Caenorhabditis elegans: one gene and its partners. The protein of the gene in region 2 interacts with the protein of the main gene of each other region in a biochemical or structural test. Each region holds a gene or a part of one and is shown on either strand. Other genes may lie near its edges.

What was found.
Region 1: of the proteins of ubc-9 (region 2) and smo-1, one has a biochemical effect on the other in vitro, tested with the Caenorhabditis elegans proteins (one study listed by BioGRID).
Region 3: of the proteins of ubc-9 (region 2) and sop-2, one has a biochemical effect on the other in vitro, tested with the Caenorhabditis elegans proteins (one study listed by BioGRID).

Annotation. Positions count from the first base shown.
Region 1 is NC_003279.8:1,338,647-1,341,889, reverse strand, and holds smo-1 (Small ubiquitin-related modifier), read right to left. Parts: upstream 1,213-3,243; 5' UTR 1,188-1,212; coding exon 1,122-1,187; intron 1,066-1,121; coding exon 965-1,065; intron 915-964; coding exon 806-914; 3' UTR 625-805; downstream 1-624. Other genes in the region: K12C11.1 (Xaa-Pro dipeptidase), read left to right, coding at 254-535; K12C11.7 (Copper transport protein), read right to left, coding at 2,180-2,259, 2,324-2,460, 2,520-2,614, 2,895-3,083. UniProt on the Caenorhabditis elegans protein: Ubiquitin-like protein which can be covalently attached to target lysines as a monomer. Does not seem to be involved in protein degradation and may function as an antagonist of ubiquitin in the degradation process.
Region 2 is NC_003282.8:4,648,893-4,652,647, reverse strand, and holds ubc-9 (SUMO-conjugating enzyme UBC9), read right to left. Parts: upstream 1,605-3,755; 5' UTR 1,590-1,604; coding exon 1,536-1,589; intron 1,411-1,535; coding exon 1,288-1,410; intron 1,154-1,287; coding exon 1,063-1,153; intron 1,018-1,062; coding exon 864-1,017; intron 808-863; coding exon 729-807; 3' UTR 201-728; downstream 1-200. Other genes in the region: F29B9.5 (Thioredoxin domain-containing protein), read right to left, coding at 1-59, 109-189; F29B9.7 (Pheromone-regulated membrane protein 10), read right to left, coding at 2,045-2,108, 2,156-2,269, 2,371-2,454, 2,504-2,581, 2,648-2,794, 2,844-2,884; F29B9.8 (Serpentine Receptor, class T), read right to left, coding at 3,152-3,363, 3,409-3,547, 3,596-3,755. UniProt on the Caenorhabditis elegans protein: Accepts the ubiquitin-like protein smo-1 from the aos-1-uba-2 E1 complex and catalyzes its covalent attachment to other proteins with the help of an E3 ligase such as gei-17.
Region 3 is NC_003280.10:12,337,844-12,341,598, reverse strand, and holds the start of sop-2 (Polycomb protein sop-2), read right to left. Parts: upstream 1,656-3,755; 5' UTR 1,654-1,655; coding exon 1,564-1,653; intron 1,228-1,563; coding exon 1,161-1,227; intron 944-1,160; coding exon 448-943; intron 1-447. Other genes in the region: sre-52 (Serpentine Receptor, class E (epsilon)), read right to left, coding at 3,506-3,698, 3,749-3,755. UniProt on the Caenorhabditis elegans protein: Polycomb group (PcG) protein. PcG proteins act by forming multiprotein complexes, which are required to maintain the transcriptionally repressive state of homeotic genes throughout development.

The DNA of each region.
Region 1 (3,243 bases), on a different chromosome or scaffold from region 2:
ATAATTTTCGTGAAAATCGAGGCGGCAGAGCTCTGCAACCGTAAAAATTGTGGAAAAGCTGACTTTTTCAGTCAAAACTGTCCCACGGGAGTAAATTTTTCGGAAAAATCGATAATTTTTTGAGTTTTGAGCTGTTAAAGCATGCAAAATGCCGAAATTTTATCGAAAAGTAGAAAAATTAGCCCCGCGGAGCTGGAAAATCCAGAAAACCTCAATTTTTCCGAATTTTCACGTAAAAATCGATATCTTCCAGGCAATCACCATCGAACCCGGCTGCTATTTCATTGATTTCCTGCTCAACGAGGCGCTCGCCGACCCGAAAAAGAGCGAATTCCTCGTCAAATCCGAAATCGACAAGTACCGCGGATCAGGCGGCGTCCGTATCGAGGATGACGTCATCATTCGTGCTTCTGGTAACGAGAATCTGAGCGATCTTCCACGAACCGTCGAGGAGATCGAGAACTTCATGGCTAGTGGAGGCGAATGGACGGAGAAGGTCATCGAATCTCGTGTCTCTGATTTCTTGTCCAAGTGATTTTTTGTCTACTGATTCTAATTTATCATCATTCCTACTACTATTACTGTGTTATTTTTTCATGTAAAATAAAATTTAATTTTTAAAAATTTGGGATTTTCCGAAAACGAAGAGTTTATTTGTAAGATAAATAAGTTATTTTAAACTTTTTTGGTTGTATAATATGATTCGAAATGTGGAAAATAGATTAAATGAGACAGAGAAACCGAGTATCTCAGTGGAAAAGGGATGGATGGGTGTTTGTTTTCGGATTAGAGTGTAGGTAGAGGACTAGAATCCGCCCAGCTGCTCTTGGTAGACCTCGATGACGTCATCGTCCTCCATCTCGAGCGTCTTCGGTGTGTCATCGTCGTTGATGCGACGTCCGTCGAAGAGGAAACTGCAAATATTTAAAGTTGATAGGAATTGGCGCGGATTTCCAAAACTCACCGAAGACTGTTGACGGCGACACCGGTTCTGTCAGCGTACGACTTCTTCAGCTTGGCCATAGAGGTTCCATACTTTACACGGAAGTGCACTTCGTTGCTGTCCTGCAATTTTTTTGGGAATTATTAACAAATTCGCGGCGAATTTCCAGTCAAATTACCTGTCCAACGACCTTGATCTTGATGTATTCGGCGTTGTCGCCTGCTTGAGCTGCATCATCGGCCATCGTTTATAGCGGGAGTCTCTGAAACGAAATTAGATTTGAAAAGAGAAAAAGAGATAGAAGGAGAGAGGTAGAGTTGCTATGGAGAATGCAACTCACACGAGTGAAAGGTATTAAGAGTGCAGAATGATGACTTTCTAGGGTATTTATATAGACGCTGTAACAAATAAAATCGATAATTACAGAACAGCTGGCTGAGCCACAAGATGCTTGAAAAATTAGGAATATCGATTGTCTGGGGAGCGCTGCGCTGAGAATTTCAAGAATATCACTGCGAAATTCAGAAAAAAAACCCATTTTTCTCAAGGAAATCCTTTTTTTTAGGATATCCAGTTCCTATCAAGTTTTCTACGTGGTTTTTCAGCGAAATTGACGAAATTTAGAAGCAAAACTTAATTAAACGCATCGCGACCGGAGAAAGAAGGCAAAAATAAATGAAAACACACGAAATGAGCCGAAAAATCGGGCAATACGCGCCTAAAAACCTTTTCGAAATGATTTCCCGCGTTGCAGAGTGTGCATGTTCACGCCGCGGTGTTTGCACACAATGCACCGCATTTCACGAGCAACACGAGGGTACGGTAGATTTTGGACAGGTTTTTGACCAAATTTGGTGCTTTTTGGACTGAAAAAATAAGAGATTTCGGCCTAAAATAGATAAATTGGTGAATTATTTGAGTTTTCAACGAAAAAAATGTTTTGAACAAGTTTTCGGAACAAAATTCAAGGTTTTCGCTTGGTTTTTGAGGAAAAACTCTAAAAATACCGTTTTCCAATATGTAACAAGGCAAACTGGATTTTAAAATATAATTTTAAGCTAAAAACTACAAAAACAATTGTTAATGAGCATTTTAGGCCAAAAAGCGATCGATTTAATTCGCGCGGTATCGTCAGGTCTCATCGTGAAATTGCAAGCGCGCTCTAATGTGAATATCGATTTTTCTTTATTAAAAATATATTCAAATTTAATGCTTTATACATATTTATGAAATCAATTAAGAACAGCAATTTCCAGTGTTTTCGACCTCCTTAACCGTCATCAACGGGCCAACGAAGAAATATCCGATGGCGTGGCCTAAAATTTACGAATTTTAAGCTTTTCTTCTAAAAATTCAAAAAAAAAAAAAAATAAATAAAACCTGCTAAAAGCGAGAAAAATAGCGGATAATTATATGTCATTGCTACCAGCATCAACGAATAATCCACAAAATTTTGAAGAAAAAATAGAAAAGAAGACGCAAAATGTCTCCAACTTGAGATGGATTCCATTGTAAATCTGCAATTTATCACCTTTTTTCGGAATTTCGTATCCTGGAATATTTTAAGCCAACTCACGGAGCCAACGATGCCAGTTTGCCACGTGGCGACGGCTCAGGCTCTTCCGGAATCTCCCAAATGCCTTCAGGCGTTGAGCAACAGCAATCGACGGCCTACAATTTTTTTTTTGGAATTCAGGAATTCCCGAAAAATAAAACACGGGTTTCTGGCTTCCCTCATAATTTGAAATGGAAGAGTTTTTGCCGAATTAGGCCATTTTGGCTCGGCCATATCTGGCGGCGCGTAGCGGCTCAATTTTAGTTGAAAAACTAAATGTGATTTGTCCGTGTGGAGTACACGACTTTCCCGTCCGGCAGGCGATTGTCAATGGAGCGCGAAAAATTCAATGAGGAAGGCCAGAACCCCCGTGATAAAATTTTAACAAAAAATCACCAATTTTTCCTTCACAGTTCTCGTCATTCTTTGCCTTCCGAATTTCAGCAATTCCAGGCAAAACGCGATGAAAAATAGGGAAATACAGGAGAAAACGTAGCCTGTGGTGTCTGTGGGCTTCCACTGACGGAAAAGGATGGGCTCTTGGATTCGAAAATGGAAATACATTTGCATCATGTCCATCATCATGGCTGCAGATTACTGGAATATCTGAAAATGCGGAAAATTTGGGGAAAAATATTTAAATCGATAGTTTTCCAATTTTTTCGGATATTTTACTCGATTCCTGTTAAATTACGAGTAACACGGATTTCTGGCTTCCCTCATAATTTAAAATGGAAGAGTTTTT
Region 2 (3,755 bases):
TTCGGAGTGAACTGCTTACACGGTGGACACCATCCCGCGGAAAAATAAAGAGCAACAACCTAAATGTCATATTCTAAAATCTTTCACTACACACTAATATTTCGCCACCTTGCCCTTCAGAGCTTCTTCGGCAGGAACTTCAGTCAAGTCTTGCTTCAGAAGCATCACACCTTTCATGAATTCGGACATTGTTGGAGAATCTGACATGAACAGTTCATGGTTGAGTTGCAAAATACAAATAAGTTGAGGGAAAAAAAATATAATCAAGTCCATTTAGAAAATTGGAATACACGGGATTTGTCAACAATTAAATTGTGCTCCTGATTTTAAGAGAATTGGGGGGAAGAGAAAAGAGATGGAAAACAGAACGGGATAAAAAGAAAGATGAAGATCAAAATGAGTAAGAATGATGAGGAATAGTCTTTTGAAAGAATAAAGACTACTCAGCCCATGGACCAGTGGAAAATGATTGGGTTTGCGTGCACACGAAATTTGGAAAAAGTCATCGAAATGTTCTAGCTCTCGAATTTCATCAACCACGAAATGAAAAACCAGGCACGACAAAGCTTTTGGTTAGATTGAAATAAAAGATATCAGAAAAGTTGCTTCGGTGCTCGAATTTCGAGTTGTGTCAACAATCGTTGCCGCATACAGAAATAGTTAACTAAATGAAATGAGGATGGGAGGAAAAAGGAGAATAGAATAGACGACTACCACGAAGCAAGCATCTACTCGAGCATTTGCTTCTGGACGAGTTCGGCAGCATACTTCACAGCTTCCTTCTTCACTCGCTTCTCATATTCAGCCCTGTAATAAATTCATTTGTGTATTTTTTTTATAATATTCAGATAAAAAAAACTCACCTATTCTGACAGTAGATCTGATAGGCTTCAGCCTGAGCTGGATCTTCAATATTTGGATGGTTCAGCAAATCTTGAATTCCAATGAGAAGTTGCTTGATTGAGATTGACGGCTTCCAATCCTTGTTTTCATCCAGAAGAGATAAGCACACGGTACCTGAATTCAATTAATTAATTATAACTATTGGACTGCAATAATAACCTGATGGGTACACATTTGGATGGAAGAGTGGTGGCTCGAACTTGCACTTTGGTGGCGTTGACGGGAAATCGTCCTTGAAGAGCATCCGAATCTGAAAGAAAATTGAATTAGATTTATAAATATCGTTGTATTCCAAATAGCAGTTTTTGAGAGAAACAGTTCACGAATATTATAGCTCAATAAATTAACGAAAAATGATAATTTCCGAATTCTAGCTTCACATACTCTGTATAATCCGCCTTCCCAAATCGTATCCTTTCTCCCTGGGATTGCACATTCCCAATTGAAGAGGTTCAATGTTCCGTCGGCGTTCTTGACTGGTTTGGCAATGAATCCGAATGGATGATCCTGAAAATGTTGAGTTTTGGGCATGAAAACAAACTATTTTTCGATAATTTTTAGAATTTAACCGATTTAAAGCGGTTTTGTAATACAAATCGCCCCGACTTGCCATGTAATGATAAAATTCTCACCTTTCGCCAGTGTTTCCTTTCTTCCGCGAGGCGTCCTGCAGCAATTCCCGACATTTTTGTTCGGTTACACTGAAAAATATCAAATTTGTAAAAGAGAAGTGGACAGTGAAGTTTTAGGCACAACGAGAAAAGAAGAGAGAGGTAAACAAACGAAACAGCGTGTTCGTGACACTTGTCAGAACTATTTTAGATTTTTCAAACAGAAATCCGATCGATAAGAAAGAGAAATTTCTCGAAAAAGTTCAAAAATAGGATATCGCGCCAAAAAACGAAAAGGGGGGCGAGCACCGCCCGTATTATCGATCAATAAATTGCATAGTGCGGCGCGCGATTTCGCAATGGTGTCGCACACGAAAACTAATTTCGACAGAATGCAACAGAAAATTACAAAACGGTTCGCAGTTTTCGCGCGCACACAAAAGAATATTCAAGAAAATTATAAATTCGAAGGGCGCGAAATTCAAATAATATTTATTCGCGGCAAAATGTGTGAGAATGAGAGTGCCCAGTCAGTCATCCTTCTTCAAAACCTCTCCTTCCTTGCGCTCTTTCGTCGGCGAACGACTTCCGGGGCTGCAAAAATGATAACGTTTTCAAAAAATAAAAAACTTTTTTCTCACTCATCAGGCGTTCTCTCCATGTCCGGATTGTTCGAAGGTCCCGTGCATCCATAATAGTACGGCTTGTATCTTCCTCCGAACAACCAGTCCATGTCGTATAACGGAATGTATTCTCTGAATTAGAAAGTTGGAAATTTAATTATTTTAAGTGTCAAAATATATGCCTATATATAGGATATATATACAATAGGTGATTTTCTAGAATTCAGATGTACCTGTGATCTCTCATAACGGTCGAATAGTTGATTGTTGCTTTCAGATTTGGACTCAAAAGTCCACCGTATATCCTATTCCATTCTCTAGAAAATGTTCCAATTAGATCTATTTTTCTTGATGAACAAAGCCAACCTAGTTACTAGAATGATCACCAAAGAGAGAGTAGAACCGAAAAATGGAAAACTACGAACTAGAATTGAAGCTGCGAATCTGGAATAAAATTTTATTTTGGTTTTCCATTATTGTTTAATTGTAGAAAATAGCTAGTGAGCTCACAGAGAACAAATCGCAGAGCTCAAGAAAAGCAACGATGACAAAAACAATTGATTAGGTGGTTCGTCTGTTGCTGTACTCTTTGTAGTTGACTCACTACCATCAAGCAATTCCGTAGTGTAATCAGCCATATTTGTATGCACAAATTTGCTTCAAAGAGTCAAAAATTTAAATTTATAAATAAAAATTAAAAACTCACTTGTCTTCCGGAAACTCTATAACACCACTTTTCGAACTCATCGTAAAAATAAGAATGATTTAAATTTGAAAAAAATTTATTCATTTTTTAATTGTAAGGCAAGGCACATATGGAACGTGTAAAACGTGTACTATTTATCACAATTTCTGAGAGAGCGATATTTCCGATTTGAAAAAAAACAAAACAAAGAAAAAACGAAGGAGCACCGGGCTTCTGAGGGGGCGCCCAATGGCACAGGGGTTTAGAATTATGGCGCAAAAAAGAAGAGTTGGAAGCAATAATTACAGAAAAAAAATAAAAGATCGTTCCTAATGTCTTCTACAACACGGGAAGAAGAATTTGACAAAACGACGGCGGTATGGGTTGAGGAGGATCAGAGCCAGAATTAGGAAGATAAAGGGTCTGAGCAAGAAGAAGGTCAGATGAAGTGGGAACATCTCGGAAGCAAAGTGCATTGGGAGGTACCAGTTGAAGCCGAGAAGCTGACCGACGTCAAAAGCGATGGTCAATCCGGACCAGACTGAAAGGATCTAAGGTTTCACTAGGTCTGCTAACTGTTACTTACTGAGATAAGGAGCCGTAAGCACATGAACACAGATACTGAATAATAGGAACAAGAACAAACGGAGTTTGCTGTTTCTCACGTGCTCATATGGAGAAGTCTTCGTCACCTCGTCCTTTCTTCTGCAGAATAAGAAGAGACTCTGAAATCAATTCTATGCTTCTAGTACTGAAAGACATCTGAAACTCACAGCGAACATCTGGGTGACGATGCCGAAGGAGACAATACACGCAGTGAGTCTGATGCTGGAAATGATGCTGAGATAAGCCCATTGTGGAATTTGGTAGATCGAGATGAGAGTGTCAAAGGCGGTAAAGATTACCGGAGTGATTTGAGCCTTGAAGAAGACA
Region 3 (3,755 bases), on a different chromosome or scaffold from region 2:
CCGATTTTGTATCGTTAAGAACGTGCTGACGTCACATATTTTTGAGCAAAAAATTCCTACATTTTTTGTAGATCAAACCGTAATGAGACCACGGAAAAGACTGATATGATCAAAATCTGGAAGCCAGGCCATATGATAGTTGTGCGAAATATCGCACTTTTTTCCCTTCCGCCATGACTCAGATATTGCTTATTGTCCGTTTCATATTGCAATATTGAGTTTTGTTATCATTAACAATCATCCCACGACATTCTTTAATATCTATTTTTTTTCTTAGTTCAAGAATTCTAAACGCCTGAAAACGGCCTGAAAAACGGCCTGAACGTAGCTTTATGCGTATAAAAAACCACCCACAAATTGGTTAAATGTATGCGCTTTTTGGGCTTTTTGCTTTTGGGAATAATATATTTGCTAATTAATTTTTTGTTCTGAAGCTCTAGTGCCTACCTTTGCAGATTTCTCATAGCTCCTAGATCAATCGGAAGTTCCTGATCCTCATCAGATCCATCATAGAACACCGGCTCGACTTCCCCTTCTTCCATCTCTCGAGAAGCTTGCTCCAAAATGCTCGTCACCCGCTTCTCCACATGATCCGGCTCGTCGGCCATCGGGTCAGCAGTCCTTTGCAATTGCTCATCACGATCGAATATCGTATCATAACGTCCCCGGTTGAGATAGTATTGGAGCTTTGAGCTGACTGGTAGTGGGACAACCTTCTCGTGGAGCATCTCCTCCTCGGCAGTGTTGAGCACTTTGATGATGGAGTTGGTCGGCTCGAACGTTTGGCGGGAGCACACGGCTTTTTCGAATTTATGAGCAAAAATGTCGGCGGACAGGCGTACCGCTTCGTAGAACTGAGATCGGGGGTCTTTGCCCTCTAGCTTTTTGTCGAGTTTTGCATAATATTGAGCTTCTTTTGGTAAGCTGCTTGATGAGCATTGATCTGAAAAATTATTATTTTCACTAATTGTAAGCAAGTTTCAAAAATTGAAGGTCTAGTAGAGCTTTAAAAAACTACAAAATTTTGGTAAATTTCCGAGAAATTCGGAAATTGGGGTTTTTTGAAAATTGGCAATTTGCCAAAACGGAGTTTATATTATAACTTGAGCACCAAAATTGCAATTATTAATTTTTCTATAATATATTTGAAAAATACTCACCTTCCAATGCATTTTCAACTTCGTGCTTTTCCGGTCGAACCACTTGAGATGTCGATCGTCGAGTGGACTGAAAGTTTTAAAACTATTGTAACTTATTGGGACGGTTAGCTATCAAAAAATTGTCAACTAATAAAATGTAGATAAATTTTGGTACTCCAAAGTGTTAGTTAACAATTTTTCCATATCTCTATTTTCCGGCAAGTTAGAGGGTTTTGAAGTTGATAATTACTAAATTTGTTTCTTTTTTTTTAACCCCTATATCTCATTGGAAAATAACTGGGCAACATTTGATAAAATATAAAAAATAGTTTAAAAAAATATTGAGCTGGGTATAAATCATTTGTTTTGTGTAAAAGTAGTGGAGAAACGATTATTTTTATTTTTAAAAATTTGTAAACTATACCTTATCCCTTTCATTTCCCTTCACAGCCTCCGGGGGCTCTACAATTGCAGATGTTGATGACATCTCATTACTGGTCAAGTTTGAACTCATTTCTTTTGAAAAAATTAATTTAAATGTATGTTGCAGTGAAATTCAATAAAACAATCTCCCGCTGAGAGGGGAGCGTCAAGATTCGTGATGGAGCGCGATTGCTCGTATAGTGGGGGGGGGGGGGGGGGGTGTATGGTACTTGGGATTTTGTTTCAAAAATGATTACACAAGGAAAATAAATTTTTAAATAAGTAGAGGTAGATTTTTTACACAAAAAAATCAATAAAATTCTGGAAATGTTTCTTTTCTAAAAAAAAAACTGTCAATTCAACTTTCAGACACTCCAAAAAGTTATGCCCGATCTTCACAATAAAAACTCGTATCTCACAGAAATTCGCAGAAAACTTTTAGATACCGGTAGCCTAAATTTGAAAAGAAAACTAAATTTTAACCAAAATGGTTTTAAAATAAAATTTTAAATACTTTAATTTTCACATTATATTTTCGATCAAAACACTAAAATAATTTTAAAAAAATAAAAAACGAAAACAGCAAACAAAAAAGTGCGAGTGACCAAATCAATCAATGCGAGTCGCAGTGGAGAGTGTGTGATGCGCGCACGCTCACCCCCACTCAAACTCACAGTCACACCTCCCCGACCCTCTTCTTTCACCACAGTGTCTCGTCGACTCGAACGATGATTGGTTTACGGGCGGGGCAATTGGGCAAAAGAGTGAGGAGATGATGGGGAATTGTATGACGACGAAGAATTATGTGGAGAGAGGAAGATTGAAGGGGAATAGTGCAAGAGAAGTTAAGCCCTGATTAGATATAAAAAGAGGATGGCTTATGGATATATGTATATGTATAAGGATTAAAAAAATACATTCCAATTATTTTGTGTATTATATAATTATATGTGTTTATAACAATCATCACCATAACTTATAGCAGATTATTCAATTTTTGGAGGTATAAACCAGGGAAAGGCGGCAATTGCCGTTCGGCAAATATTTCGTCGACAAATTCGGCAAATTGCCGGTTTGCAGATTTGCCGGTAATGTTCAAATCCGGCAATGTGCCGATTTGCCGGAAATTTTTATTTTCAGCAAAGTGCCGGTTTGCAGATTTGCCGGTAATGTTCAAATCCGGCAATTCGCCGATTTGCCGGAAATTTTTATTTTCAGCAAAGTGCCGGTTTGCAGATTTGCCGGAAATATTCAAATCCGGCAATCTGCCGGTTTGCCGGTTTGCCGGATGTTTTCATTTCGGTAAATTGCCGATTTGCCAGAAGTCTTCAATTTCGGCAATTTGCCCATTTGCCGTTTTCCGGTTATCAATTTGTCGGAAATGTTTAGAGGAATTTTATGTAAGACGGAAACCCTTAAAACTGTGCCTTTGTGAAATGTTTTCCCGTTTTCTTTAGATATTTTCATAGAATTGTCTACTTCTAAAAATAGATGTATGAGCATTCCTAGGATGAGTGCAATTTTTCCGATCAAATTTGAAATTTTTAAATTTCCAAAAAAAAATGTGCAAACCCACAATTTGCCGAAAATTTACAGCAAAGTCGGCAAATCGGCAATTAGCCGGTTTGCCGATTTGCCGGAAATTTTCAATTCCGGTAATTTGCCGATCTGCTGATTTGCCGGAAAAAATCTTTCGCGGCCCACCCCTGTATAGATGCCAAGGCTTTTAAAATCACAAGTTTCCGGGGGACACCAGTAACGTAGGAAAAATAATGTTTCATATTCTTTTTTTCATAAACTTTCGATAAAAATAGGGACTTTATAATTTTTCAATTTTTATTTTCAGACGGTTATTTCATGTAAGATTGAAAATATTGTTGAAATTTGCACTCAAAAAACTAAAAATTTTCAATTAAGTTCAAAATATTTATTATCAAAAAATCTCAATTCTTCAACTCCCACGTGTTCTGCAACTGATTAAAATAGAAATCGGTTTCCTGTGCCACATTCTGCCCGGATAACGAAACCGGACGTTGGCTCTTCAGAGCAATGCAATCAACTTTCCGGAAGAACGGGATTGCCTTGCTCCACGGGCTCACTGAGAGTATTAACACTGGGCAGACTATCAGGGGATTGCTGAAATTTTAAGATTTATAAGCAGTTTCCTTTGTTTGGAGGATACTTACAGATGCA